Lepisosteus oculatus: one gene and its partners. Each later gene encodes a partner of the first gene's protein in a complex. Links are inferred from orthologs where the notes say so. Each region holds a gene or a part of one and is shown in the gene's direction. Other genes may lie near its edges.

Region 1 (7,283 bases):
TCCACACCATAGACGAAGCGCTCTGTTGTCTTCGAAAAGAACTGAAGGACAAATGAGAGGTTAACAACATGAAAGAGGACAACGCGTCTCTCACGCAGCCCATTTTGGTTAATCGATCCGAGGATGTCATCCAGCTATTTCTTGCAATGCGGTCTTCAACGACATAACTGGGCAGCTTGCTCCAGTCCCCCGCCACCCTCTGTGTAAAGACATCACCTGTTCTTAATTTTAAACGAGCTTCAACTCAGTTGATCAGGTTTGTGTCCTGTGGTTGGCTGAGATGAGACAGTCAATGCTCACTGACTACCAGGTCAATTGGCTAATGTAGTCAGTGAACCCCACACCTGGCCCCTCACAGACATTATCACCTCCTGAGGGTTCGATCTAGCAGGTGAAGCAAGATTTAATTAGGTCAATTAGCTTGGCTTCTCGTTAACATCTATCAGCTCTCTACTCATACAGGACCCTGGTCTGATACCGTTTTGTAAGTCATTTGGCACGGCAAGATGTATATTATTATTGTTGTTGTTAAATAAAAACAATAATATTAGTTTTATGAACACTGCAGTGAAGCTCGATTTTGTCCCCAATGCTTCCCAGTCTCGTGATGGTTTCAAGATGTAAAGTATTTCAGTTGTTTCCGATTTGTACAGGGCCGCCAGCGAGACATCACGCGAGAGACAGTTCCGCCTTTGACCGATTCAGACGAGACAAAATCGTTCAACCCCCCGAAGTTTTCCGTGAATCTTAATTACTCCCAATGACATCACAGCTTCAATCCAGTAGGGAATTTCCCCGTTCCTCGTAGGCGCTTTAGCGTATGCCTGAGAACGGCACTCAGAGAACTGTATTTTGGAACTTCAGATGCGGTATATTGGCATTTCCAGGTCAGCTGCCAACGCTGTGAAATCGGAAAACAATCAATACAGTCCTCAGCCCTGCAACGTCGGGGACGTTAAAAAAAGGAAGCAATAATAAAGTGCATTAAAAAAAAAGATTTCACATTGTTGGGTACATCCATGCACGCATTTCACGGGCCAGCCCGACTCATTCAATCAATACTGGCGAATCAATGATCAAAATGGCAACCGATGCCCGTCGGTCTCCGCCGCGCGATCCTGACCCCTCGTATCACAGTATCTCGCGCAACGGTGCGTCGATCGAGAACCGGGGGGGACACGCGCACTGACCTTATGCAAGGCTCTGATGTTGTCCTCTCCGAAGATGCTACTCAGGGTCTGGTAAAGACCATTCGCCGCCCTTCTAAAACTGTTCTGGCTGCTGGAATCCTTCCGGCTCCGAGCCGCTTCTACACACTGCAGGGATGCGAGGAGAACGGCGATTATGGCAATCAACCTAATTACCTTCATGACTTATGACTATCAATAGTATGCACGTATTTTTTTTTTCTTTCTGTAGAGGTAAAATAATTAGCTGTACGTTAAAAAAAAAAAAGACACCACAGCAGCAATCCCGGAAGAACGTGTTTCCGACGAAATGGTTACAATGTATTCAGAACTTCCGCCTTCCTGCAGAGATGTGAACTCTGACACCTGGCGTTGAGAATAGGAATAGCACTCCCTTTCCGCTTCATAAAAATCTGGTTTTAATGTTTGTAAATCTAAATGTTTCGGTTGAGTGTTTACAATAATAATAATAATAATAATAATAATAATAATAATAATAATAATTGCTTACACTTATATAGCGCTTTTCTGGACACTCCACTCAAAGCGCTTTACAGGTAATGGGGACACCCCTCCACCACAACCAATGTGCAGCACCCACAATGATCTGGTCAACGTGAATGTCAATGTACCGAATTGTTTTTTAAGAAACCGCTAATATTTTTTAAACGGCAAATTACGACGGGCTTATTGTGTCGGGTTTCTGTTTTAACTTCGGTTAATGGCGCAGTTGTGTGACATTTATAACTGATTCTGCACAACTTCGTGGATCTGCCAGCCTGGGGAACCTGTCTGTACGTACTGAGTGTTCTCATCCTGTCTGTGGACTGTCTGTGTGGAGTCTGTGTGTTCTCACCCTGTCTGTGGACTGTCTGTGTGGGGTCTGTGTGTTCTCACTCTGTCTGTGGACTGTCTGTGTGGAGTCTGTGTGTTCTCACCCTGTCTGTGGACTGTCTGTGTGGGGTCTGTGTGTTCTCACCCTGTCTGTGGACTGTCTGTGTGGAGTCTGTGTGTTCTCACTCTGTCTGTGGACTGTCTGTGTGGAGTCTGTGCGTTCTCACCCTGTCTGTGGACTGTCTGTGTGGGGTCTGTGTGTTCTCACCCTGTCTGTGGACTGTCTGTGTGGAGTCTGTGTGTTCTCACCCTGTCTGTGGACTGTCTGTGTGGAGTCTGTGCGTTCTCACCCTGTCTGTGGACTGTCTGTGTGGGGTCTGTGTGTTCTCACCCTGTCTGTGGACTGTCTGTGTGGGGTCTGTGTGTTCTCACCCTGTCTGTGGACTGTCTGTGTGGGGTCTGTGTGTTCTCACCCTGTCTGTGGACTGTCTGTGTGGAGTCTGTGCGTTCTCACCCTGTCTGTGGACTGTCTGTGTGGGGTCTGTGTGTTCTCACCCTGTCTGTGTGGGGTCTGTGCATTCTCACCCTGTCTGTGGACTGTCTGTATGGAGTCTGTGTGTTCTCACCCTGTCTGTGGACTGTCTGTGTGGGGTCTGTGTGTTCTCACCCTGTCTGTGGACTGTCTGTATGGAGTCTGTGTGTTCTCACCCTGTCTGTGGACTGTCTGTATGGAGTCTGTGTGTTCTCACCCTGTCTGTGGGACTGCGGTGAAATAGATTTTGGAGAGACGTTGTATGTGTCTGTTGCATGTTGTGTTGGCTGGGGCTGTATGCCTTTTAGAAACATTTCAAAATTAGATACAAAGGAGGGGCTCCTCTCTAGATATAATAATGACTGCAAGACTCTCATCTGTGGCCTTTCTAATGTTCTGACACAATTGCCTAAAATAGTCCATTCTTGTCAGTTCTGTAACAAATGATTGTGATACACTTGTTTTTTAGCCTCCTTTTGTATTAAAGCCCTTGTCAGAATCTGCCCTTATAACAGTGTGGACTTTGTACGAACTGTTTCTTTGTCTAGTGTTTCGGATGAGACATAAAACCGAGGTCCTGACTCTCTGTGGTCATTAAAAATCCCAGGGCGTTTCTAGAAAAGAGTAGGGGTGTAACCCCGGAGTCCTGGCCTAGTTTTCCATTTGGCCCTTACCAATCATGGCCTCCTAATAACCCCCATCTCTGAACTGGCTCCATCACTCTGCTCTCCTCCCCACTGAGAGCTGGTGTGTGGGGAGCGGACTGGCGCACCATCCAGGTGGGGCTGCACACTGGTGGTGGTGGAGAGGATCCACATTATGGAATTATTATTATTATTATTATTATTATTATTATTATTATTATTATTATTAGAGGCCTTGGAAAAAGTGGAAAGTCAGCGCACTACCTCTGGAAACGTCTAGTCTTCCTGACACCGAGTTAAACTGCCCCCAGCGCTACACTCTCCCACACGGAGTGAGAACAGCGTTATATAACCATCACGTCAGCTCGAATCATGTGGCTGGAGTATCTTTCGTGTTCACTGGTATAACGCGATTTTAACGCAAACGAACAATATATTTTTAAATTAAATTAGTTTAAATAATTAAATAAACCTTTTGTAGTGTAAATACTTTAATCCAAGTCAAATGCACAGTAAGACTCTCTGGTTGTATTATTACATTACTCAGTGATTGTCATCTTAAAGCTTACATACTCAGTACAGAAAAGATCTGGCATTTGAAAGCTAGGCCTAACTTAAAAGCAAATGTCGTTCTTTGCTGCGTTCCTTTCACGCCTATTTCAACAAAAAGGGTTACCAAAGAAAATGGTTTCTGTCGGTGATGGTTTTACAATACATCCAAAAGTCGACTTTTTTTAACAATGCATCGATAACCACAGATATTTTGTAATTTTAAATGAATTCTGCCGGTAAACTGTACTGGAATTATATCGCCTACTAGTGGTATGTCCTTAAATTACTACGGCTGTGATTAAGGATAAGGCGGAACCACTTCTGCTGGGCTTCGTGTTGCGTGTCGGAAGGGTGTTGATGTCGTATTGGTGTGTTTTCGGAAGTCGGGAGCGTTTGTGTGTCTTTTTTTTTCAAAAACCGTATAGACAAGTGTTCCAGTGTTTGTACAGGTTCTAGTATCGGTCGAAGTGATTAGATAACTTACCCGCAAGTGGTTTTTCTCCTGGATTTGCGTGTTACACCGCCGCCGTCATGGGGAAAAGACAGCATCAGAAAGATAAAATGTAAGTTCACCTGCGTCCTAATTACAACCACTATGCATCTGATCTCCGTTAAATGCTGGTGTTTAAGGTTTTGTTTCAGTATTGGTTCCATAAGCCTGTTAAGATAAATTTTAATATGGTCGCCGAGGCTGCCTAAAATCAGGGATTTATATTATTGTTAGGATTAATGCAAATTAATACAATGATACGTTGGTCAATAGTATATTGTGGAGACAAAGTGAAAAACAATATCGTCTTCCATGTTATCGTATAGCATTCGTTACTATTTTAAATTATTGTAACCTGTGTCGTTTTTCATATACCCTCAAGTCTGAAACTGCCGTTGAAATCACAATGAAAATGGTATGTGATTATTTTCGTCTGTATTCAGGTACATCACCTGCTCCGAATACACACATTTCTACGGAGGCAAAAGAGCAGGTACCGGTGAATGTTTCGTCTGTCTTTACGTCTTTACTGTCCTGCAGCGGAATTTCATGTGTGAGGGGAAGCAAAAGCATCAGTATCTGTATTACTTCTTCCCTGGCAAGGCGGTCACTCGCTTTGTCTAGCTTCTTTCTGAGTTTTGCAGTATTTTATGCCGTCTTTGTGTCATTCGCAGCTGTCTGTACTGTGCAGCTAAGCAAACTTAACCCTGTTTTAAATGTGTGGATGATTATGCTGTTCGCCCAGACTTACTCTCATCGTTTTTTACGTGCAGGTTTTAAGCTATAAGCTCTCAGTAAACTTCTTCTATGTCGTGCATACAATATCTGCCATCTCAACATCCTAGAGCTAACTTGAAATCCAAGTTCAGCTCCTAAAAATCACATATCGCAATAAAAATCTAAAATCCGATTGCAAAGCCACATGGAAAAACAAAGCAAACAGTAGAAGATGTAACTGTCATATAAGTCTAAAAAATGTGACTGGATTTAAAAAGACTGGGCATGAACAGGGGACATATAAAACTGCAATCAACTGGATGAAGGTCCTGTGTGATGGACACTTAAAAGCAGTCAAACCTTTTGCAGTCATACTATGGAGCCCTGAATGGAAGCAGACATCATGATCAACTCAAAATTGTACAGGAAGCCAGTGCAGGGACTCCAGAACAGGGGTGATGTTTGCAAGTGACCTAGAGGTACCTGTTAGAAAGAAGTAAGAATAATCAGTCCCTGGAAAAACCACTTTAATGGACCTTTTTTCTGTAACAAAAGCAGATAACATACAGCATGTACACAACAGCCAGGCAATGTTTCAAAGGTAGAAAAATAATATACATCCAGTTTAAAAGTTAGAGCAGGTTAGACTGTAACCCCACATTCTTTTGGGTTAAATCTCAGGCAAATTGCCATCAACTGACAGGTTTACAGCACTGACCTTAGTCTTTTCACAGTTGTGATCCTCCCAATTTCAGATTTCATTGGAGAACGCTGAAAACATTATTCCATTTATCCAGTTTTCAAAGCTGACAGCTTCACACGACAGCTCAGCGAGTCACTTTTAACTTTATTTGCCCTGAAGCGAAGTGCAGGGAAACGGGAGTGAAATAAGACAAGCAGAACGGTAAACTGGGATCATACACGAACCTCGGTTTCCAAGGCAGTCAGGAGTGAGCTGTGCAGAATGTGAAGGAGTAAATTCTGTCACTCAAAGAGGCTGTGCTATAGAGGCCTGAAACTCCAAAAACCCACTTAGCCAACTCTCATAACCAGATTAAGAAGTGGGAAATTAAACTTAAGTCTAAAACTGTACTAGAACCAGGGGAGGGAAGCAGTCAAACACACTGTGTTCTAAAATACAGTACATGGTACAGTTACTTAAAGGGGAACTGCAGTCCCGATTTCTCAGACCAGTTATTAAATCTTGGTAACAAAACCAATTCATTTGCTGGTATGGAGAAATTTGGCAAATTTTGACTTCAGCACAAAATCATGTGAACTTTGAAAGTACTGTAAGTTGCCATGTTGTTGCCAAACCCTGGTCTCGCCACGGGTGAGAGTGAGAGTTCCCATGAATAGCAACGCAATTGCAGCCCTTCCTGCTCACTAGTCCCTGTAATGACTTATCTGTGCAGCAGGTATTTCACTGCAGAAATGTTCCAGCATGACCTGCAGGCAGAGTTAACAATTTAGCCGTTTTGTTGGGAAAACTCTCTGGAAGTCGAGAGCAATATTTCCATTGGATGACAAGAGATGTATTCACAAGCCTGCTTACTTTACAGTGTAACAGGGCCACTACATGTCACCAGAAGTTGTGTTGCCTCTATCTGAATCGCAGAACACGGAGCTACAGAGCTGGAAATTTAGTCTGTTTTGTAATGTAAATTGGAGGTTTTACACGTAACTGGGTACATTTTATTTTTTATTGAGGTTTGAAACTCATCAATGCTGGTTCTTTCTCACCCTAAAATATAAAAATAGAAATGCAGTTCTTTTAACCTTTTTCCCCCCTTTTCTTTCTAGAAATTCCACAGGCGAATTTCAGGCGCCTGCCCTTTGATCACTGCAGGTGAGGCAAAGTTTCTCTATTCTCCAATGTTCTCCAATTCTCCAGTGGAATTCTCCCAACCACCGGTTTCTGTTTTCCAGTTTGTCCCTGCAGCCATTCGAGTATCCCATGTGCACTCCTGAAGGACACGTCTTTGACCTGCTGTGAGTATTTCTCCTGCTCCCACAGCCTTTAATAACTGGCTAGAGCTGTTTTTTGTATGAAAGCTTCTGTTTCACAGCTGCTTGTAATGTAAACATCCATTAATCTCATCCACTTGTTTTTTAAAAGGTGTCTGGGATCCTGCTTCAGTTATGAGGCTGCACAGCCTTAGATGGGTACCTACACCCCAAAAGTCACAGCTACCCCTCGCAAGACACTGGCTCTGCCATAGGGGTGATATGTGCTCCAGGCTTGACATTTGATTCATGTGCAGAATATTGTAAAAACATCATTCTTCCATCTAATAAATATCACCAATCTACATCCTGTGTCTCTT
Region 2 (7,477 bases), on another chromosome or scaffold:
ATTAACCCAATTATCAAGTCAATTAGGAGTTCAGTGCGAACTTGTGCTAAAACCTGCATTTGTGTGGGGCTTAAGCAACAGGATCAGTAACTCCTGGGGTCTAGAATAAGTACAATATACATCTATTCTGCTCCGTGTGATTTGTCAAACAGACACTCAGTCTGTTTCATTCAATTTATCGGTTTTCCAGTTTCTCTGTTACATTAGACAAAAATTAAAAACTGCAGTAGAAGAAAATTTAGTCATTACCTCATAACCCGAACCAGAATTGTCTCCTCTTTTTGTTTTTTCCCACTACAGGAAAACGCGTGTCTCACGGGTACTGGGGACAAGGTCTCGCAAGAAGATGTGGTCCTCAACAGCTCAGACCAACCTGCCCATGGGGAATCTGGGCAGCAACAGCTGTGCTTCAGGAAGCCAGTATCGAAATGAAAATGGCATCACGGAAAACGAATTTAGACTCCCTAGGGTGGAGATGCACCAGAACGTCTTTGTCCTCTATGCCACAGACACCGAGCCTGTTCCGGTGTCTGTGCACAGCTCCTCTTCCTTGGAGAACACATAACATCTCAGCAGCAAAGCTGGTGGAGCCGTGGAACAAGTCTGAAGTCTACTGGAACTGTGCAGTTTACTACGTTCTTAGGATACACACTCATAACTGAGCCAGTACTGAGCTGCTCGGTCCTCGGTCCTGTCCTTGAGAGCACTGCATTGGAAAACTCCCATGCTGTTTGGAAGGACGCAAACCAGACACTTAATAGAAGGCAAACAGGAGTTGAAATCTTTAAACCTGTGAGCAACAGGGCTAAAGTGCTATGATACTCTAGTGTTCACCAGCAGTGTTTCCATGGCTGTGTATCCAAGTGTTGTGCATACTAGTAGTCAATGAGTGTCGGACTCAGAAAGTGGCACCACAGAACTTTTCTAGGTTTTGTGAACTTTATTGTTCTCCTTTCTCTGATCTGTAAAAGCCCTCATTGTTAAAACGGATGTATGTAGACAGTGTGTGCAGTGTCTCGATTGGACCGCAATGCTACTGAGCTAAACAGTTTCCTTTTTGAAACCCAGAAGGCTTCAGCCCTAAGTTAGACCGTGGGTCTCCATCCCTGGTGCAGGGTTTTCTGGGTAACGACTGCAGTATGTCACAAACTTTGAAGAACCTAGAATAAATTAACTGTGATCTATTAAGCAAGACACGTGTTAAAAGTATTAACAAGTTAGCAAAGATTGTTTGGGTCAAAAACCTCCATTCAGCGCTGTTTGGAATCTGGTGTTTTTTTGCCACTCTTAGGTTAAGAAAGAGACCCTAAAATAAGTTTAGGATTCTGTTGTATCTCTTAGGCTTTGAAAAAAGGTTGGACACACAGGAGTGATTTGTTTCAGAATTATCTGCCTTAACGGAACAAATTACTTGCTTATTTCATCTATAACTTATAATTACCATATTAACATTCCAACAGTCCATCAGAAAACTGCTTATTCTTGTTCAGGGTCACAGCAAACTGGAGTCAATTCTGGAGTCACAGGGCCCAGGGTGGGACAACACCATGAACAGGCCTTCCCAATCCTTAGAAACAGGCGATTTAGGATTAGGGTTAGGTTAATAACCTGTAATTTACACTGTATTGGGGCACTCTGGAGGAAGGTTTAAGTCCTTTCATTCAGATGATGTTTAATCTGAGCCTTTTCAACAAAATCAAGGATTTTATCTCCTTTTTCTCCCCCCCCTGGCTGAAGCATTCTTTCCTGGTTGATGTTTTGTTCATTTTTTGTAATTGAAATGACCTTGATTTCCATGTAATAAAGCAAATCATGTCCTCTCTACTGTTTCTCAGGCCTGCGTTAGGCAGGTGACAATAGCCTGTAATAAAGTGCTTTAGAGGAAGTTCTGCATCTATATAGACCTTTATGTAGGATTTACGTTTTCAGTTTTTGTAATGAAATGGGAAACGTTTCAACCTGCTTTCCTGGTGAAAGTCTGGTGATCCTGATATTGTAAAAAATGACTTTACTTGCAATGCTTGCCGGTGTTTTGAAGAGGAAGGAAACTCATAGGTACAGTATAAGTAAACCTAAAATGAAAGCACATGGCTATAACTGTAAAAAGAACCTTTATACATCAATACAAGATGTTGCTTGTGATCAACTTGAGCCTGGAGATTTTTCTGACATGGTTATGTATCCAGAACTGCTCTCTGGCATCAAGAAATGTCACTAGACTGAATTATTCAATATTTACTGTATATGTATATATAATTGAAATCAATGTCTATGCAATGATAGTGTTACATGTTCCTATAACAGGCTGGATTTGATGTCGAGCAATTATGCTTGCTTTCTGCTGGTGTTGGAATAATAAGCCACAGTAAGAAGTTTTGTGTCCTAATTTTTAAGAAGAATAAATAAATGGAGCTTTTATTTAAAGTATGGCGTCCTCTCAGAAAACATATTGCTTTTATAATAAAGAAATTGCGTTATATTGTCATAAAAATTACACTTTACATATGTAACTGTCGTCCTAGAAGGCTTGATATCCCCACTTCCTTTGAAGAGAAACCTTGTCTTGCTTTGCATCAGCTTCCAATGCTATATTCCCGACTATATCGGTATTTCCCTTTTTTGTTTTACTGACATTTGAGAGATTTATCATTTGAACTATTAATCCAGACATCATAGCCCATGTATGATTTAGGGTAGATGCTTGACCTTATGTAAATGAAACTCCCAAAATGGCAGCACATGAGTGAGCCCTGCCCAGCTGGGTGGAGCTTGAGTGGCCAGCAGTTTCCCTGGTTGGTGCACAGGAGTAGCCCATGTGACTTACAGGTTGGCCAATGAGCTTTTTAGAGCTGTGACACTCCCCTCAAAGCTGGGTCTGAATGAGAAGTGGACAGCTCAGGATCAGTGCATGTTTCAGGGAGACAGAGATGGCCTCCTCTCCTCCATGCTAGTACAAAGGGTGGCGGAAATGAGCCATATTGACTAACCATCAGAGATTCCCAACAGGTTGGGGTGGAATATTTCAAATCTAACAAAAAATAATTCTAGTTATTGGCTAGATTTATAAGAGCTGAGGACTTCCAGTTAATCCTTTATTATTGGGGAAAACTACAATTGTTCAATGTCCAGGTAGGATCTCTGTACTCCACGGACTACAAAAAACATGGCTTTCCAAAATGAATTCCAAAATTCTTAACTCCTTTCCCCCCACATTTGTCTTTTTCTAGAAACAAAACATCCTGTCATTTAAAATCATGTGCTGTGTCTGGGTGATGTTAGACAAGTTATACCTGCTATAAAGTATGTGACAAAGCTCTGGATGATTATGTAAATACGGAAACCAATGTAGCATTAAAAGATTATTTTCTGTGGGAAGATTGAAGTCTGATTTAAACTCATGGAGGATCTGAGCAGTGAGGACACCTGGGTAAACATCAGGGGTTTCTGACAGCATCTGCTGCACTGGAACTGTATGACTGTGGAACCCAGAGTGTAGGCACAGACATACACAGAGGGAATCACGATTCATACGTCATCCCTCATCATTGGCATCGTCTTGTGAACCTGTTAATAAAAGATCTACCAATTTGCCATTAGTTCTGGAGCTCTGCTGCTACACCGTGACTCACACTGCTGCTCCGAGCTGTGAGGCTCATGGTCTTCAGGGAGTCCTCATCCCACTACAACACGATTTGATTGTTTTGTATATCATGATGCTGGAAAGTAATGCATCATCTTCAGCACATTGACAAGTTTGTAACACACTCAAAGCAGAGTGATTTTGTGTATGGAGCGCAAATAACCTTCACAGACCTGCCTGTTCATACCTGCATTGCTATCAGTCTGTTGAGGGTGAACTCATGGGAATATCGACATTTAGTTTTGTAAAAAAAAAATCACGTTTTGGAACATTTTAGTGATATTTGCAGTGAACCTTCCATCTGTCAAATAATAACTGTAACGGTGGTGTTATGGAGTCGTTTAGGCGTTCAACTTTAAAACAGCTGATGGCCACGTTTCAGAGCAATTGGCGCTCCTTGATAGGTTTGCCCGGGAGTTTTGGACTCTTGAGAGTTTTGTTTGGATTTGCAAACGACGGTGTTAAATGTGTTGAGGCGCCTTGAACCTGCTGTTTAAAAGTTCCGCGGAGAGCCGAGCTCCAGTGCCTGAGGTGTAAACGCATCAATAAAGTTACGCCGCCTGGTGGTTATTTATGGTCCTACACGAAGGGGGGGGGCTTCTTCCTGCATTGCATTGTGGGAGTCGTGGGCATTTTTCTTTCAGAGACACATTGCACATTTCGGCAGAAGATGGACGCGGGTTTTTTCCGCGTAAGTACATGTCTTCTTTTTGGCTAAAAAAAAAATGGAATTTCGAGTTTATTGTTCTCCTTATTGCAGCCTAGGCGTCCCCTCGGCTCGGTTTCCGGAGCCAAAAGCGTGGCTTATCCAGGAGCATTTTTTTTTTCCTTGTGTACTTCATGCGCCATCCCGGAGCAACGACATGCAATGGGAGAATAAAAATGGCGGCTGTATGTGAATTCAACCGGGGATCAAAATCATTCGTTGAAAATGAATTGGAATCTGTATTGTCTCGTGTTGTGTTGGGGGTGCAATTAATAAACGCGCACATCGTTTTTGAGGATGTTCTTTCTGTACTTGTTAATCTTTAAAAAAAAAAAACCTTCAGAGCCCGTGTAAGGCCTGTGTCGACAAGCAGTCAGCCAGGGTGCAGGGCTCGTTTGAATAGACTATGCCCAGATCCTTCAAACGTTGTGTTCGTGTGGCTGCGGAGAAATGTTGAGTTCAGGAGTTGTTGTTTTTTTCTTAATCTTGTGTGCTGGAAAAAAAAAACCCTCAGCGGCCTATAACGGAGAAGACAAAACGCGATCGGGTATTTAAGCGTCTTGACCTGTGCGGCAACGTCTACCGCGTCTTCTGGAGAAAAGACAACTTTCTCTGGCTTCGCCTCGCCGTGCCTGTTCGCTCCTTGGGGACTGAGGTGTTGGGAAGTGACGAGGGAAAGTCACCTTTGAAGTACACGCTCACATGTGGAGGAATATTGCTTGAGAGTCGTGTGATAACCTCGGGTTTTTTTTTAAAAAGCTGCTCTTAACCAAATCTGTCACGCCTCACGATGTGTGCGAAATGCTGACAGACCCAGTGAGTTTGGGGAGCTCAAACTTTTAAAAAAAAATGTAACTGGGCTCGTCCTTCACTAGTCATTGTCTTATACTGTTACCAGCAGCCTGAAGAGCTTTTCAACTTGATGGCCTTATTCAGAGATCCCTCCCGGAGTTTAGCAGATATTCTGGTTTAGTAAATGATATGGCTGCTACGAAGACTTGTAGGTTTCATTGTAACCTTTTGTTGTTAATAATAACAACAACAATTTCTTGCTTTAGGAATTTGTATTTTCACCTACCCCAGCTTGCTCTCCATGAGACACAGACAGGGAGAGAAGCTGGGGGTCATAGTGCAGGGTCAGCCGTTGTACAGCACCCCTGGAGCAGTTGGGGCCTTGCTCAGGGGCCCAGCGGAGTAGGATTTCTCTGCCGGCTGCGGGATTTGAACCGGCAACCTTCCAGCCACAGGCGCAGATCTTATCCTTAGATGAAATTGTTCATGTGAGCCTGTCCTGAAACCTAAAACCAGAGTCTTTCTGTATTTTCTTACCAGGGCACGAGTGCGGAGCAAGACAATCGCTTCAGCAACAAGCAGAAGAAACTTTTGAAACAGCTCAAATTTGCAGAATGTCTCGAGAAGAAGGTATGTGAGCATCTTCTAATTAATTGTTGTTTCAAAATATTCTTAGAGACCCAAAGGATCGTCCTTGGTCACCTGGGGTGTCTACTTGCGATAGGCTTGCAGTTATATATTGTTTTGCGGTTCTGATCAGAAAACAAGATTCAGTTTAGGCTGTGGACACAAGGTGTCCTCCAGTGTTTTTGAGTTTATTTTTGATTTTGTGGTAGGGTGACTGTTTTGTAGATGTGTGGCTAAATGTCAGCTTTCTTTTCAGGTGGATATGACCAAGGTGAACTTGGAAGTCATCAAACCATGGATAACTCAAAGAGTGACAGAGATTTTAGGGTTCGAGGACGATGTCGTCATCGAGTTCATTTTCAACCAGCTGGAGGAAAAGGTAACGCCGTCGAAACAGTTTCTTCTTCCTCAGATTCTTGTTTTGTAAAGCAGTGAACTAGTTCTTATTTTTTTGTGCAAGAGGCGGGTGGGTGGGTGTGAGAACTAGAGAAGAGTATTTTTTCTAGTTGAGAATTCACTTTTTATAATATAAATTTACTGCTCTAGGAGGTTTTGTTCTGACTGCTGAGGTGAAAGGAAATGAAGCTATATGTATTTGAAAGAAATGTTGCTGTTATATGTAACAAAGTGCCTTTGACAGCAGTTTTCTAATGATGATGTGATTTATGATTTAAAAGGCCTGAACCAATATGGATGTTATTCCTTGCGTCTGAAGTATAGCACCATCACCTAATTAGGTCACAGCAGAGTGAGTGTCCAATGTCGCTCTGACCCAACTCCCTTGATGATGCAGTGTGTGTTTGGAGGTGAGTTGTGTAAAGTGACCAAAAATTCCAGTGACGAGCACTTGGACAGATCCTTACACTGCTAAACCACCTACATTTACCTGTGGCTAGATATTTATAGATGGTAGCAGTATACCTTTTTAAAACCTGTATGCAGTATGCCTGAATTGTTTCCGGTTTGCTGTGTTCCAGTTATGATGGCTGATGGCGAAGACAGCCATCCTTTTTTTCCTCCTTCACTGTCGGGCATGGTGCATGGTGTAAAAAGAAATACTGCTATATTTATTGGTGAAAGGAAAAATACTACATTGAAAGTGGCCTGACTGCACTTTTGATGTCAGATTATTTAGACCTGCTGACAAGGTCTTTTAAAAAAAAAAAAAGTAGCAGTGATATTTATGATTCTTCACGTGTATGCAGACAAACTGATAATGTAGACATTGGTGTTCATTTGCCTAAAGTTGATCTAGCTCCTAGACCCTCTATATCTTGAGTTAATATGCCTTTTGTTTGACCTTTTGACTTTTTGTGTGAAAATAGGCACTGCTTTTTTGGTCCATATTGAGGTATGCTTAAGACTTGTTGATTTGCTTGCCAGGCAGAATAGCTTTTTTAAAAAAAAAAGTCAATGCAAACAGTATGTAAAGCCGATTGTTGACATTGGTTCAAAGTGTATTTTTTAAATCAGACGTAGGGTATTTGCCTTTTGTGAATGCTCAATATTACAGAACACTGCCTTGATAGGGTTTGTGCTAAACTCTCTTGTAATTCTCTGTTGCTGAAATTAAAAGCGAAATTTATTTTTATTTTATTTTTTAGAGTGATTTAAAAAAAATTCAATTCTCTTGTGGCTGTGTACTCATTATTGCTTGTTCGTCTTTTGCAATTTAGATAAATGATATAACATTAAGCTCAAGGTGGTTGAGT
Region 3 (7,930 bases), on another chromosome or scaffold:
TGCTCTCCACACCATGGCAGGAGGCTATCCTCATAAGCGTTGGGTTTTTTTTCTTTCGTTTTATTTTTACCATCAAGAAACAGTTTCTGTCTTTGGGTGTTTTAGGGGGTGTGGGGATCTAAAAGAAGCGTCATACATCCGGAAAACAAAACCCCTCCTCAGTGTCTGACACCGTCCGAGATTTAAATAACCGCTCCGTTTTGCTGTTCACCCACGTGCAGCATCTTCTACAGGTGATGTTCAGATTCCAGCAGATTGTACCGCAGCACTTATTCTCCTCTTGCAATTCCCACACTTCTTACACAGAGCAGAATTTGCAGTCTTGGTTGGCTTTTGCGCCAAACAAGGTGTATAACAGGGCCATAGTCAATTCCAGGTTTTTTTTCCAGATTCACTCTTTCAGATTCAAATCAATTCCCAATTCCAATTTCTTTTTCACAATCCCTGAACAGGAACTGGGAATGGACCTTAACCCAGATCTACAAAGAAGTGTTAGCATCGAGAACACTATATTCCATCCTTTAATGGGATCTTTATATGGTCTCAGCATTCAGTATATGCATTGTCGCTGGTTTAACACCCTTTTTAATTAACATACTGACGGAAGACATTTGTAGTGTCCCGGTAGAAATTACATGAATACTTTGATAAAGTGCAGTTTTCCTTGTCTGTATGTAATTACTTTGTTTTAACTAAATTAATTACTTTGAAGAGGATATACCAAAAAGCCTTATTGACAAAAAATAATTGCATGATTGTCCAAAATAATAAAGGAAAGGAAACCAGAATGAAATCAAGGTGAAAGAAGGAATACATTTTCCCTTTTCACCATCTTATACCTTATAATCTTCCAGTAAAACAGTCCTTTTACATTTGAGCTCCTGTGTGGGGGAAAATCCCAAACTCCTGAGAGTTGTGAGGTTTCACAGGTGTCTCTGAACATTGCCTGAACATTTTTGTTCTTTGCACAGTCACTTTGTAGGAGATTATTTTTGTAAGTTCTTTAACAAGAAGTAAAGTTCCTAGGAGTAACACAAAATACAGAAGAATAACATTTGCTGCTAGAACCTTTGAGACAATAATCATCATACCTCAAAACTGGGTATGAATTTAAGTTGTAGAAAATTAACATTGCCAGATTTAAGATCATATAAAGTTCCCATCGGACCAAATCATTTTAACCATGTAAAGTGCCACATTAGTGTGGCTGGTCTGTCTGCTTTTGCAAATGTTCTGTTTGATTGCTGGACTTAACACCACTGGGTTGGGTTTTGACTGGTTGCATTGTCATTGTGTTTTGTCTTGTTGTATTGTGCTCTCAGCTCTGCAGTTAATCAGATTTCAGCTTGAATGTCTGCCTTACAAGCTGTTGAACAATGGGGAAAGTGTTGATAGACCTATGGTATATATTAATAATGTAAATTATAATGTTTCTTTCTGATAAGTGGGCTTCAGGATGGTCTTAACAAATCAGAGAATGTATAATTGGTTAACATGCCTTGTATGTGTTTTTCCACTTTTAATTTAGTGGTCCAAACCATAAAATATTAACAGTGTTAACACATTCATTATACTGTATGTACTTTTTTCCCCAGGTCAGCTTTTTCTTAATAGTACCTTAGCAATTTAAATAGGAAATCACAGACTTGAGATATCAAGTTGTTTTAACCTTTGGTGCAAATAACCTACAACTTACTTTTACTCTTTTTTGCATGGAAATTCTTCATTTTTAAAAAAAAGCATTTTAACATGATGCAGATACTTTCAATAGAAAAACAAAAGAGTTGTGGGGATTTGTGTTTTAGGTGGACAGAGGTACAGATCCACCCGTAGGTTAAAAGAATACCAGCCTGCTCCCCCTCAAGTTTGTTTTCAGTGCGATCTTTGTCTACATATACAAATGACTTTCAGATCTTTTTTTTTTTATTGTGTAAAATATTTCCTTGTAATTATGTATTGGACAGTTTCCTTGCACTTCATACACAGTACACATCTCTGTATACAAAGCTATATTTGAAAATGACTTGCTCCAGTGTGGTTGAGGTAGACTTAATTTAGAGAAAGAAAACAATATTAAAACTCATGTTGTATTGCAATGACTGCTACAAAACATGTCAATTCATCTGGATCAAATGCTTTACTGCCCTTAAAGGGAACATTGCTGTTTATACTGTAGAATATGACTCCTGAGTTGTTGTACAGCTCTTTGTGCAGATGTAGTGGATATTGGTAAAATCATTTCTGATCATTCTTTTATGTCCTTTTAGTGGATGATATGCTCACCATTCTGTATATTTACCTTGGTAATAATGTGAGAGATGGATTAGGGATATTATATTTCACTTTGTCTCATTAGATTTAGTTGATTTCTAAATATTGACACTTGGTTAGTGTTTTACAGGGAGGGCTGTCTTTAACTTTGCAATAAAGTCATTAATAGATCAACATCTGTTTCATTTCCTATTTCAGTCATTGCTGTTTTATTAGTGCTTTTCCTGTAATGAACTTGAGAAACCATTCCATTATTCAGATGTAAGACAAAAACATTTTCATATAAATGAAGAATAAGGATTTCATTTCAATAATGACAAACCTGGTATATTATTAGCGTTCATATTTTACAAACCCCTGTTCTTCCTCTTGCGGTTACATGTCATGGACAGAGTTATATAGTTATAAAATACAGTAGAAGTCAGGGATGAAAATGGGAGTAGTCTTTTAAAGGTAATTTTTGATTAAACTAAGTGCAAAGGTCACCTATCTTTAATGAAATAATGGTTTAATTGTAACTTCAACACTGCAAGTTAAAATTAAAATGTTTTGTACATCCAAACCTATTTGGGAAGATGTTCTAGTTTCAATCCACAAGTCTGAGCAGTCGGTACATGTACAGTGCACCGATATTGAGACTAGCTTTACAGACTAGAGCCTCTATCTATAGCTTTGCATTTGTAGTTCAGTGTTGTTCTGCACATGCCCAGTTTGGAGACGGTGCACAGTTGTATCGCTGACGGACTGTATGCTTTCTGCCTTGTTTTAAAGAAATGGAACTGCCACAGCTTTAATTCCATTGTCATAGAATGAATGCATGATCATTGCAGGAACTTTCGTCCAAAGTGAATAAATTCTCAAATTATGTCAGGTTAACATGGTTATGGCAAGAGATTTGCATGGATGTGCCCAGGTTACTTGATGTGCAGGAAATTCATCTGTTTGTTTGGAATTTACAGTTGTATCTTGTATCTAAATTTAAGTAGAAACTTTTAATGACGGCTATAACCCTGGCCATATCACCATGCATGTGACACGATTTAATCCAAATGCTACATCATTGACTATACATTGTATATTTATTGCATGCTTGCTGCTTTTTCTTTCTTGACAGATCAAGTACCATGCTTTTCACACATCTATATGCCTGTCTGCTTTGATCTAATATCTTTTGAGAGTGGATAAGATAATATAATGACCATTACCTAATTACTGAAGTATTTTATTACCATTTGCTTTGGCTGAGTACAAAAGAGTCAAGATAGCTCTAGCCATCATGATAGAATGGATCCTATTATGTCTGCTGTGCATAAATACTAAGAAGCCAGTTCTCTTCCTAATGTATTCAAGGTAAGGGGTAGAGAAAAAATATTTCCAGTGTGTTCAAAATTGTAATGATTTTTAAAAATGTTTTGTTGTGGCTGTCTGCAATACCAAAATATCGTTTTCTCACTTCTGTCATTCCATGTTTTAAGTGGTATGTTTTATTTGACAGAATTAATAAATTCTCATGAAAAACAGACATTTGTAGTCATTTACTTCTGATTTGTCTTCTGTGTGTGCCCAAAACCTGGCTTCTTTTTGTTTTGTAAGCGATTCAGCCGTGACAAGCTCGTTATAAGGAATCATCACATCTAAAACAAATAGAGCAAGTTTAATGTGGTCGTTTCAAAACTGCACAGGAAAAAAAGTCCCAATTTCTCATTATAGTCCTTAATAACTGCAGAGAATAATAACTGCATGGTTGTGCCATTTCGCCCCATCTTGATGGAACAGACGTTAAGCTGCAACAGAAAATAAATGTATTCTACATGGTAAAACTGATAAACATTTGACAACTGATATATGGCAATAAGGTATTTTTAAAGTTTCCAGTCACAGAGGAAGGGTTAGGCAAATATTTATGCTTTTATAGCTGCTGGCGTGGAAGCACATCACCTGAAAGTTATGGGCGCTGTTACCCCTTGGCACCGTGTTTCAACCAGCATAGACGAGTAATAAGACCTACGAGCGTAAAAACGGCTCTTCCACATTTCGAGAGGAAACGCATCTCGAAAACACTAGTGCACTGTGCTTTATTTTCGATAACACGTTTCCACCCACAGCAACGAAACGAATCTCCCAGCTTCGTCCTCGGCAGACACCCTGCAAGAGGGCGCCGTCTTCTTGTTCCTCCACTGAGTAATGAAACACACGGTGGCGCTGTGCTGAGCCTCCCATCCCCATCCCACGCCCGAGGCCCCTCTTTGCGTCTTTCAGCGCCTTCGGTGCGTTTCCGGGTCACCGCTGCCTTTCACTTCCGAGTCAGTTTCCGATTTAATGCCGGAACGGCCCAGCGTCGCTGTATCGTTTCGTGTATAATTTTTTGTCTTACTCCGGTGGGGGATTTCTTCTCGCCATCAGCCGCCAGCATGAAACTCGTGCGGTAAGACGTTTCGGGGTGTTTCGATCTTGGGGCCAGCGTCGCTAAAGGGTGTAAAAGCGCAGGGATTGCCGAGGATGGAGTCAGATTGTGGGTTGTTTTCAGCTCCAGAAAGCGCCGTTCGCGTCGGGGAGACGCGGGAGGCGGGAAGGGGTGAAATGAATGGCCGATTCAAACGGCTTCCAGGGGGTGGGAGGGAGAAACGCCGTTTCGCGTCGGCTGCTGCAATCCGAAATCCGCGCCTGTTGTCGGTTGTGTTGAAGCGGCGGGTCAGTCGAGTCCCAGCGCGGCTCTTTAATTTCTCCGCACAAAGCACCGTAGACGTGCTGGAGAGGAGCGCCGGCCCGCCGGAGACGTGTTTTCATCCGGTCGGTGCGACTCGGTTTTCCTGGTTAGCCTCCCGGTGCGGGACGGTGCTCGTCCCTCTTGCTACCTGACGGGTGTTTTATGCACTGACTTTCCCCTCTCCCTCCCACCTTTGCAGATTTTTGATGAAGTTGAGCCATGAAACCGTCACCATAGAGCTCAAGAACGGAACTCAGGTCCACGGCACCATCACTGGTAGGTGGATCGGCTCTTGTTGCGGTGTTTGTTCTCGAGAAGCCCACTGGGTCGGTTTCCCTCAGTAACGCTGTGGGTTTGGAGAGCTGGACCATCCGGTCCTTTGTCTCGTTTCGAGACGGGAACGGGCTGTCTCTCGCAGCACGCCTGGATGGAGGGTCCTTCCGAGCCCGGGAAAAGATCTGATCGATCTTCCGCCGGGCAGAGGCTCCATGCCCCAGTGATCCTTAAAATCCACGAAGCTTATCCCTCGCCAGAACAGCTTCCCTTCTCACGAATGTGTTGAGCATGAGCATGTACTAACTGGCTTTGCTGGGTGATACTCGGGCATCTCTCTGTTTAAGGATAGTCGATCCCTGAGAAAAACTGTTTACTTGCCTGCTGCAATAACCTGCAGTCAGGGATCACCCGGTGCAGGGGATAAAAGTATTTGCCATCTTTTGGGGGTGCTTCCTGTTCAGACCTCAATGCGTGTCCTGTGTGCTGGGGATCAATTTAAAAGTCAATCCGACAGCGAATTCATACCAGATTTACTTTAACCTTCAGCCAGTCATAGGAGAGAAAGGTGGGCTAATTGGTCAGAAAACCAAGTGTTCTTTGTGCGACCATGAGTAGGATAGCTCACCCCCTTTCCCGTGTTCGTGTGCTGCGCAGGGGTGGATGTGTGCATGAACACTCACCTGAAAGCTGTGAAAATGACGTTGAAGAACAGGGAGCCTGTCCAGCTGGAGACGCTGAGCATCCGTGGAAACAACATCCGCTACTTCATCCTGCCGGACAGCCTGCCTCTCGACACCCTGTTGGTCGACATCGAGCCGAAGGTCAAGTCCAAAAAGAGGGAAGCAGGTAGGAGTTCTGAGAAGATGCTTTTCCTCAGCAGTCAGATATATCTTCGGAGTAGAAGTGCGTTTCTTCACGCAGTTTTAAATAAGAACTTAAGCATATTCCCAAAAGAGAGGAGGTCAGGATCTCTTCTTGAGGTTTCTCGAGAGAAGCCGGGGTATCGGCTTGATCAACATGGTGGCCGGCTTGTTCCACACTCCCGCTACCCTTGGTGTATTTGGGGTAATGAAGTGTCTCCTGTTCCTGGGTTTAAATTGTCCTATGTGTGGTTTCTTGTTGAGGTTGTTTGAAAGGACAGTTGGAGCAGCGGTTCATGTACAAAATCATATTTCAGTTAAGACTCATTGTTTGGTTGAATACATTCAACTTCCTAAGCTCAGAGTGTAAACCAAGAAAATATTGTTGCATGTGCTAGGAACTGCCTTAGACGTTCTTGGTGCCTCTTTATGTAGATGAAAATGAAATCAGTTTGCTAAGACTAAACCATCATAGTAATTCATTGCCTGAAGTTAAGTTTCTGCTTGTTTTTTTTGGGGTGGTTCACTGGGGTGCAAAAAAACTGAGGCATTTCAAAGTATTTCTATGTTTTATATACTGACAAAACCTTAAAGTAAACTAAAGTCATCTTATAGCAGACGTTTCAGGTGTGGTAATATGGGTTTGTACTTGTCGTAGTTTATAACGAGAGTTTACTTCCTGAGCTATTCCCAGGAAGTTGCGTGAAAATAGTTTATATGTGGATGTAATGATTGAGAGTCTCTGTGCCCCTTTTCCTTAACCCTCACGGTATCTTTAAAGAGCGGCTCGGTTTTCTTCCGTGGTATCTGGACGTCTGCACAAACAGTGGACAGGTTCTCCTCGGCGTGTGTAACCCCCTTCGCTGTTTTACTGGTGTGCATCGCTCCTGCTCTTCCGCTCGCGGGCTGGGCTGGGCCGTGAGGCGGCACGGCGGGTGACTGGTGTCTGTCCTCTCTCGCAGTGGCCGGCCGCGGTCGAGGCAGGGGACGGGGCAGAGGCCGAGGAAGAGGGCGAGGCAGAGGAGGACCGAGGAGATAACTTCGCTCACTGCTGCTGCTGCAAGTGCTCTCCCTCTCTCCGGCAGAGGCTGTCTGTACAGTTTTTTTTTTATTTCGCAGGAAAATGTTGTGGATGATCTCCCATTTGTTTTTTTATATCTAATAAAAACCATATTCCTGATAACATGGCGCCCTGTTTAACCTTTAACACTTACAATTAATCTTTCCTTTGGGTGGGATAGATACTGCTCTGTACTGTATGTGTTGATGGAGAGGAGTGTTTGCAGTGTCTTGCTAAGCGAGACGGATCTTCTTGGCATTGAGCTGTGGGACTGGCTTGTATTGTTGGGGGCCTGTTGATGAATCCAGGCTTGGCCCTTGTAAGTTGTCTGTGTGCAAACGCACAGGGAGGGTTTAAACATTATTGGTCAATCTCTAATGCATTTCTTCAGCCCATTTTCTAAGTCCTAAATACTTTTTTTTTTAATCTTGGATTTGTTCGAAAATTGAGTGGCAGGTGGTTTTAAAACTGGATTTCAAGCACATTCCTTGTTTGTGCAAGATCCTTGTCCAGAGAATGTTTTACACTACAGAGTGCTCAATGTTGAATTGTTGGAATTGCAGGCTCTTCAACAGGTAGGTTGACACTGATTCAAACGCAAGGCATGCCGTGGGCAGGAAAGAGTGACCTTGGCTGTCACAGAGTGTGACTAAGCAGTATCCTTTAGGTCTGTGGCTTCTAGATCGTCCTTCCAAACAAGTTAGTCATCAGTCACCAGTTGCTAAAGTTTGGAAGAGGTAGGGTATTAATTAAGTA
Region 4 (8,202 bases), on another chromosome or scaffold:
AAAACAGTAGGAGGCACATCTGTGCACAGTGAGGCTAAGCATGTATCCAACAAATGGTAGCACACCCAAATGAGAGTATAAATCACACATTTAGACATGAACAAATTGTATATATTTTGCAAAGGAGTTTGTGTAAATACATATAGGTAATAAAAACATTTTGGCCACACACTAATTATTCTTGCTGAAAAGTTAAGGAAATACATCTTACAATGTAAAACTAAAAATTTTAAAGCCATTTACCGAGAAGTGAAAAAAGAAAACACTTGAAGCTTTTCATAGATGTTGTTCCTGACCTTGAGGCTTTCATTTTACATTAGTGCACTACTCAACCTTGTAATGGCGTATTACAAGGAAAAATATTTTCTTATCTTTGAACTCTTAGGAGTCAGTTTAGTGATATACTCCTTCCTATACATCATTCTCGTCACAAAAGTATCTGGGAATTCACAGAAAATCTTCACTTGCCAGGTTTGCACAAAATATTGTTGAGAGATTGAGCAACTCCACAGGAATTGAGGAGCTGGCTGCCAGGTTGTCTGTACAGCAGTGAGAAGCTCAGCCTTTCCTACAGACAGGACATCCCCTGAGCTCATCGAGAAGCCTGTCTCTTCTCTGCCAGCTCTCCCATTTGCTTCTGCCGACGCTCCAGAACCTCTGCCAGCTTTTCATCGTATTTGGCCTGTTCTCTGGCACGAATCTCTTCCACTTCAGGGAAAAACTTGTGTCTGAAAATATAGTTAGTATTGTCTTTTAAATTATTATTTTGATGATGATGTTTTGCATTTCTGCAAACATAATGAACCTCCAGTAGCAATATAAAGACCCAGCCATAGCTAAAAAAAAACGCTACAGTGCTACTTGAAAGTTTGTGAACCTCCGAGTGGTTCATTTTGACTATAAAATTTTTGTTTAATCAAAACTAGTCCTCCCTAAAACAAAGGTTTATGTCCACAAATTCAATGTATTGTTCAGAGGAATTTATGCATGCAATAGAAAAAGAAATAGGAAAAGAAGATTTAGGGCATGTGCTAAAGTAAGTGAACCGCAGGTTTCATTAGCTCAGTCAACATGGTAAGTATAACCAGGTGCTAAAATAATTGGGTACCAAGTTAAGCAATCAAAGAACCAATCACCTGAGCAAAGTCAGTTTGGTGCTGTTCATACAGAGTAATGTAATGCACCATCCCACAATCTAAAGAGACCCCAGACAAGCTCAGATGAACTCAGGAAGAGTGTTGTCTGCTCACCAGTCTAGAGAGGGTTATAAAACCATTGCAAAAGGTTTTGGAATTCATCAGTTTACTGGAAGACAAATAGTCTATAAATGGAGAAAATTTAAGGCCACGGTAACTCTACCTAGACGTGGATGTCCTTCCAAATTATCCCACAGAGCAACAAGAAAACTCATCCTGGATGTCCAAAAGAACCCTAGGACCACATCCAAGCATCTCCAGGCTTCTCTTTCTGCAGTTGATGTCCATGTTTATACCTCAACAATATGACACAAGCTGAATAGCAATGGTAGCCAGAAGAAAACCTTTGCTCTAAGAAAGGAACATTGCTGCACATCTTAAGTTTGCAAAAGACCATCTGGATGATCCTTTAGGTTTCTGGAAGAATGTTCCTCAAAGCAGATGTGAAGGACTTTACTAACTTTAGGAGCTATGACTGCAACCAAACAATTCCTAAAGGGTGTACCACTGCTAGCTGAATTAACTTTCACTTACTTTTGCACACAGGAATCTTTGAGCTTCTATTAAATAAACATGCTTTATTTAATAAATAATGAATATATGTATGCATGTCCATTATTTGGGTTATATTAAATAAAAATTGGAGTGCAGATAATTTTCTTAAGAGTATAGAGAGAGATTATATACTTGATGCTGCTACTATAACACTGCTACTTTAGTTACGTTTCCTGGTCCACCATTTTTCACACTTTAATACATATATACAGCTCCCCCTAAAAGTAATGGGACAGTAAAATCATAACTGTTGTTTTTGTCTTACAGTCAAGCAGTTTGAATCTATGATCATCAGATTAATATGAAATTTCATGCATATATCTGACTTTAACTTTAACAAAACCATACTTTGTGTTCAACCCAGTAATTTCAAGGTATCAAATGTATTCTAATACATTCACGTTAAGTAAATTTCAGAGTATAAATGTTAAGTTGCATTTCCCAAAATACATATCTCAAACCTAGTGAGTTCTCCAAATTCCATTTAAACATTTGAGATTCCTTTTCTAGATGAATTGAGGTGTTCCTGTTGAAAGCCTTCAGCTTCAATAATAATAATAGCTTACAGTTGTATAGCACTTTTCTGGACACTCCACTCATTACCATCACAGGTAATAGGGTCTCCCCTCCACCACTGTGAAGCCCCACATGGATGATGCGACGACAGCCATAGTGCACCAGAACGCTCACCACACATCAGCTATCAGTGGGGAGGAGAGCAGAGTAATGAAGCCAATTCATAGGTGGGGATTATTAGGAGGTAAGGTAAGGAGAAACGCCCTGGGATTTTTAATGACCACTCATTAAACCGAGAGTCCTCGGTTTTACGTCTCATCCAATGGACGGCGCCTGTTTACAGTATCGTGTCCCCGTCACTATAATGGGGCATTAGGACCCACATAGACCGCAGGGTCTGCCCTGTCTCTCTCACACCTGAAGAAGGCTCCACAGCCGAAACGTTGTGTTCTCTTTCTTCTTTTTTTCAGCATGGAATAAACCTATTACTTGTTCCTTTGCAGCCTACGCATGCTGACGCAGCTACCCACCTGAACTACTACCGCCTACAGCTGCTGCGACCCACTATGCCTTCCTCCAAATCTTTTTCTAGATCTCTTCGTCATACCTTCTCTTCCTCCCTGGGCCACTTGCCCGCTTCTCTCAGCTGATAACAACCCGGTTATTGATGTCATTAACAACATTAATCCCAAACAGAGCTGTTGGACTCCCTCCTCTGGCCGTTTTCCACCAGTTGATTATTTCATTAACCAATGCACTAATCAAGCTCCCAAGACACTCTCTATACCCAGTAAACATAGGTCTAACCTCACCCAAGGAGAAAATCAGGCGCTCCAGTCTCTCCGCAACAGGGATGATATCGTCATCAAACCAGCGGACAAAGGAGGTGCTGTTGTGGTGTGGCGTAAGGATCTATATATCTTTGAAGCCTCTAGACAACTAACTGACACTTCTGCCTACCTCCCTCTCCAACAGGACCCTACCACTGACTACCAAAAGGAAGTGGTATCCACCATTTCCCTTCTTATCAGCAGTAACGAGCTCCCCCAGGAGGCGAACCGGCTCATCATGGAACATCCACAGGTATCTCAATTTTACCTCCTCCCCAAAATCCACAAACCGGACACCCCTGGACGCCCCATCGTATCAGCATGTAACTGTCCAACTACTTACATCTCAGCCTTTCTCGACAGCCTCATGAGACCGCTGGTTGAAGATCTTCCCTCATACATCAAAGACACCAACCACGCGCTCCAACTTTTCAATGATTTCCAATTTCAGGGTACCGAATGCCACATTTTTACCATGGACATCACATCTCTGTACACCGTCATTCCCCATAATGACGGCCTTACAGCACTCAAGCACACGCTGGACAAACGCACAGTGCTTGATCCACCCACCCACACCCTGGTACGCCTTGCAGAATTGGTCCTCACACTGAACGCATTCTCTTTCAATAATCTTTTTTACCAACACACTCAAGCACACGCTGGACAAACGCACAGTGCTTGATCCACCCACCCACACCCTGGTACGCCTTGCAGAATTGGTCCTCACACTGAACGCATTCTCTTTCAATAATCTTTTTTACCAACAGGTCATGCCATAGACATGATTATGATTATGCCATAGACAGGGCATAGACCCTGCTGGCCCCACTAACACCTCTTCCAGCAGCAACCTTAGTTTTTCCCAGGAGGTCTCCCATCCAGGTACTGACCAGGCTCACACCTGCTTAGCTTCAGCAGGTTGTCAGTTGTGAGTTGCAGTGTGATATGGCTGCTGACATGAGAGGCTTTCTGATATAAAGGTCAATCAGCTGCTAGAAGCTCGGTGATCCGAGGGTCTCATCCTGCCATTTCGTGGAACAAGCCAGGTTATGAGCTTTAGCTAAATGAGCTGGTAGTCTGCGCGAGAGTCCCACAACCAGTACTTGAACTAGAACCAAGAACTCTGCCAAGGTCAATAAACCATACAAATGATCAAATCCATGAGTTCAGTGAGCACATTCCCAGGTCAAAAGTAAGGCAAAAATAAAACACCAGACTATTTCGGTCAACAAAGATCAATGATTTGTTACTTCTGCAAGAGCGATGACTTCGTTCTAGCACTCATAGGAATCCAAGGTTATGACTTTCTACAAAAGGATAATAAGCTTCCCGGAACATCCCAAATGGTATATATAAATACCTTGAGTATTTTGCAAAGCTCTTTAATTTGCTATTCATCACAATAAATGAACAATGTTGCATAAAGTAAAAAGCGTTTATGAAAATATATCTGTTCGTCCACACTAATACACACCTGTTAACAAAGGCGATGGACAACCCAATGAGGATCGTCCCAAACAAGACCGGCTTGGCAAACCGCTTGCCGGCAGACAATTTGATCTGTTTCATGTCTCTGCTATACGAAGAAATACCTAGGCAAAAACAAAAATGAGTGCCACTTTCTACCTTAAAAAAACAGAGCAACTAGCTTCACGCTTCTAAAAAACAAAACGCAACTGCGCTCTCCTCCTATAAGCTCCGGCATAGAACACATGACTCAGAGAAACAAAGTTCCGTCCACCAGAGTACAGCCCGAGTTTTCCGTTTATACACATCTGCAGCTATATACGGTTTGTATATGCAATCGCATCATTGTGCAGTTTACACCCGCTACAAAGACATTTTGAATTTTATAACTTGTCCTCTCCTCCCATTAATAAGAGATATTTAATTACAGTTTTCACTGGTTTATTTTGTCATTAGATCTTGTAGTTTTGTGGAACTGGAATCTAAAAGCCAATGCGTTTCTGTCGATCGGGGGAGAACGACTAGGACAGGAACGGAAGTAAATACAAAATATAAAAATTAAGGTGTGTGTGGAAGGGGAAGGCAAAGGTGGATGAAAAATGGGTCGTCGATAGGTAAATAAAATAGTTTAGTGTAATAAATGTATATTTTTTTATAATGCAACAAAATATCTAACAGACTAGCGTAGCTTTTAAATGTAAGTAATTTGTTTTTTTTACTTTTCAGTTTGGGCATTATTTGTGGTATAAACACTTTTGCTGCTAATCCGACACCAATATGGAAAAGCTTTCGGTTGATCGTAAATTTATAATAAAATATGGATCCAACAGTGTTCAAATTCTAACGTTTGAAAAAAAAATATGACACTTAAAATCTGTGCAAAGAATTCCGTACCTCCCTCCTTCCCTGTATGTGAAATTGATTTAAATGTGTATCCTGTATTCATTCTTGAGCGTAAAGAAGTAATTTGTTTGAAATACAGCAGTATCTTTCATGATTTTTAAATACTTCAGTACAACTCCATGTAATCTCTTTGGTTCAAGTAATATATTTTAAATTGAGTTTAAATTATTTTGCATGCTCTGCTTTGGTGTCTTTCTAGTGTGGCAAAACGCTGCTTTTCACAGTATAGGACACACTGCCTTAATTTAAAGATCAAGATAGTTCTGAGGATTATGCTGTCTATGCTGAAAATGTTTTTTTTTTTTGCTTTAGGAGTGTGATGTTCCCCAAGAAAGGTGACTCCCAGGGACTGGACAGATTTGAGTATCTGCAGGCTCTGGTCACAGAGTTCCAGGATACTGACAGCATTGGTATGAACTTCTGTTTCTTTTAAAATATGTTATTAATTTTTCTGCACCTTATAGGCACTGACCAGCAGGCGGTGTTTGTAGCTCTTTTATTAAGCATTGTCAATGAAACAAAATCATGTGGAAACCATGTTTTCGTAGGATTTCAAGTAACGTAGTAGATTAAAATATGGGTTACAGCGTTTGAGATGCACCGCAATGGTTACAAAAATGTTGTCCACATGGAAATATGTGTTGGTTGAATTATTGTCTATTCAAAATCTGTGAACGTTTATTTCATTTTCACGTTTAGAAGCCAAGACACAAGTATTGGCAAACTTGGCCAACTTCTCCTATGACCCCAGCAACTATGAGGCCCTTCGCAAGCTTCAGGTGATCGACCTGTTTTTGGACATGCTCACAGAGGACAACGAGAGCCTGGTGGAGTTCGGAATAGGTAAGGAAGACTTTGAGAAGAAGATAGAAATGAAGAAGAAGAATGATGATGAAAAAAGAAAGACAGTTCTAGAAATCAGAATCAATAATATGTCTTCGTATAACTTAGTATAACTGCAAACAATTATTAGATTATTACATTAGGGCATTTTCTGCAAGAGATTTCTAAATGGCCAGTGGAGAAATGTGTATATATATGATAATGGGTACACATGTGCAGGTGATACAGAAACTTCTGTTATAGAAAAAGGTGTGGTTCAGAAGGTTGTGCAGGTAAGGTGCTTGGTGGTCTTATTGTTGAAAATCATGTTGTATAATATGTTGATTTTTTTAAATTAAGAAAGAAATTCTACAAACCTATTTAAAGAGTGTGTATATATATATCCACAAATAAACTCCATATTTCATAGTTTTTTTGTTTGCCTAAGTTTAGTGTAAAAATCCTCAACTAACAGTAACACCAACAAAAAGACCTTGCACTCCTCACACTGATAACATGCAAAAGGTTTTTTAGAAAAGATGTAAACCCAAAATACCTTTATTATATAATCCTGACCTAGTTTTGTCACCTCGACTTTGACATTTTGAAACAGTTAAATCACCTGTAAAGTAGGAAAGGCTGTTGCTGTTTCTCTCCTAAATATAGCAGCTCGTCGGCAAAACACCCAACCATGAATGGATATTTACTACAGTTAGTACTGTTCGGGTACTTCAGGGGCATCTTTGCAGGTGAAAAACTGACTAACTTTCCAGTGTTCCAGACAGAATGCAGGCTGTTTATTAGGGGTGATTACATATATGGCCCTGCATGCCATAGGTTCGCCATTGCAGCACTATAGGTTGGCACTCCTTGAAGCCTAAACAATGTAATAGAGAAACTGAACAAAATGCATCACAATTAACCTGATGCTTTAGTACATTTATTTAGCAATTTCCATGTTTTCACAGGGGGTCTGTGTAACCTGAGCCTGGACAAAACCAACAAGGAATACATCCTGCAGAACGATGGTGTGAAGCTGGTGATTGGGTGCCTGTCCAGCCCCAATGAGGAGACAGTGCTGTCTGCCATCACCACTCTGATGTACCTGATGACTCCTGCCTCCCGCGAGGAGATCACCGATATCCCCGTGGTGGAGTGCATGCTGCGCTTCTCCCTGTCTACAAACCGGAGATTAAGCAATCTGGCTTCCGTCTTCCTGCAGGACTACTGCACTGCGGAGAAGGTGCAGAGAGCCCAGAGCCTCCAGGGACACTCTGCTGTGGGCATCCCACTGCCTCAGGATTAGATCTGCTCTGCTCCTAGTGATGCCACTGTCTTCTGGTTTTTGTTCTAGCCCAACTCTAATTGAACTAATAATTTGCATATTTGGATATACCATCTAAACTCCTTACAGTTCATTCCTCTCCTAACTGTCTCCCTGCCCTCTTCATCTGACTGCTGCTGCCCCTGAAGAATGTCTGTCAAGCCAGGTGTGTCCAATTTACTCCAGTTAAGGAAAAGAAACTAAGCCTCACCTTGTTCCATCACATTGTAGAAGGTCTTGCACACGAGGAGATGAGGAGAAGTGGAGAGGATTATAAAGAAAAGAGACTGAAGATAAGTGGGAGTACAATGGTTGAGGTACGGTAGCAGTGTGAGATTTGGTGCTTCAAATTGGACACAATGCAGCAGAGAGCCAGCAGAGGGTTGGGACCAGTGAAGCAACGTGAGAAAAGCAAAGAAGAGCAAGCGCACAGAGCAGCCCCAGCATTCTGGATGAGTGGGAATTGGTAGATACATTTAGCAGGGACTCTGGCCAAGAACTACTAAAATAGTGTGATGAACACAGGATCACTGTAAATCTGTCAATAGCACTTTTCTCTATAACACTTCACACTGATGTGTTCAGT

What was found.
Region 2: ppil2 (region 1) and srrm1 share a complex: the UniProt entries of both Homo sapiens proteins name them as parts of the minor spliceosome. The link is inferred for Lepisosteus oculatus from reciprocal best matches to the Homo sapiens genes PPIL2 and SRRM1.
Region 3: ppil2 (region 1) and snrpd1 share a complex: the UniProt entries of both Homo sapiens proteins name them as parts of the minor spliceosome. The link is inferred for Lepisosteus oculatus from reciprocal best matches to the Homo sapiens genes PPIL2 and SNRPD1.
Region 4: ppil2 (region 1) and armc7 share a complex: the UniProt entries of both Homo sapiens proteins name them as parts of the minor spliceosome. The link is inferred for Lepisosteus oculatus from reciprocal best matches to the Homo sapiens genes PPIL2 and ARMC7.

The regions. Positions count from the first base shown.
Region 1 is NC_090717.1:1,804,125-1,811,407, forward strand, and holds the start of ppil2 (RING-type E3 ubiquitin-protein ligase PPIL2), read left to right. Parts: upstream 1-4,064; 5' UTR 4,065-4,280; coding exon 4,281-4,312; intron 4,313-4,682; coding exon 4,683-4,732; intron 4,733-6,759; coding exon 6,760-6,805; intron 6,806-6,885; coding exon 6,886-6,948; intron 6,949-7,283. Other genes in the region: bri3bp (BRI3-binding protein), read right to left, coding at 1-41, 1,191-1,370. UniProt on the Homo sapiens protein: Has a ubiquitin-protein ligase activity acting as an E3 ubiquitin protein ligase or as an ubiquitin-ubiquitin ligase promoting elongation of ubiquitin chains on substrates.
Region 2 is NC_090706.1:4,187,217-4,194,693, reverse strand, and holds the start of srrm1 (serine/arginine repetitive matrix protein 1), read left to right. Parts: upstream 1-4,262; 5' UTR 4,263-4,310; coding exon 4,311-4,331; intron 4,332-5,678; coding exon 5,679-5,768; intron 5,769-6,021; coding exon 6,022-6,144; intron 6,145-6,443; exon of another isoform or gene 6,444-6,571; intron 6,572-7,441; exon of another isoform or gene 7,442-7,477. Other genes in the region: ncmap (noncompact myelin-associated protein), read left to right, coding at 301-565. UniProt on the Homo sapiens protein: Part of pre- and post-splicing multiprotein mRNP complexes. As a component of the minor spliceosome, involved in the splicing of U12-type introns in pre-mRNAs. Involved in numerous pre-mRNA processing events.
Region 3 is NC_090705.1:41,557,900-41,565,829, forward strand, and holds snrpd1 (small nuclear ribonucleoprotein Sm D1), read left to right. Parts: upstream 1-4,559; 5' UTR 4,560-4,682; coding exon 4,683-4,696; intron 4,697-5,177; coding exon 5,178-5,254; intron 5,255-5,908; coding exon 5,909-6,100; intron 6,101-7,076; coding exon 7,077-7,153; 3' UTR 7,154-7,297; downstream 7,298-7,930. UniProt on the Homo sapiens protein: Plays a role in pre-mRNA splicing as a core component of the spliceosomal U1, U2, U4 and U5 small nuclear ribonucleoproteins (snRNPs), the building blocks of the spliceosome.
Region 4 is NC_090704.1:32,755,665-32,763,866, forward strand, and holds the start of armc7 (armadillo repeat-containing protein 7), read left to right. Parts: upstream 1-5,176; 5' UTR 5,177-5,262; coding exon 5,263-5,264; intron 5,265-5,782; coding exon 5,783-5,880; intron 5,881-6,169; coding exon 6,170-6,313; intron 6,314-7,260; coding exon 7,261-7,598; 3' UTR 7,599-8,202. UniProt on the Homo sapiens protein: As a component of the minor spliceosome, involved in the splicing of U12-type introns in pre-mRNAs.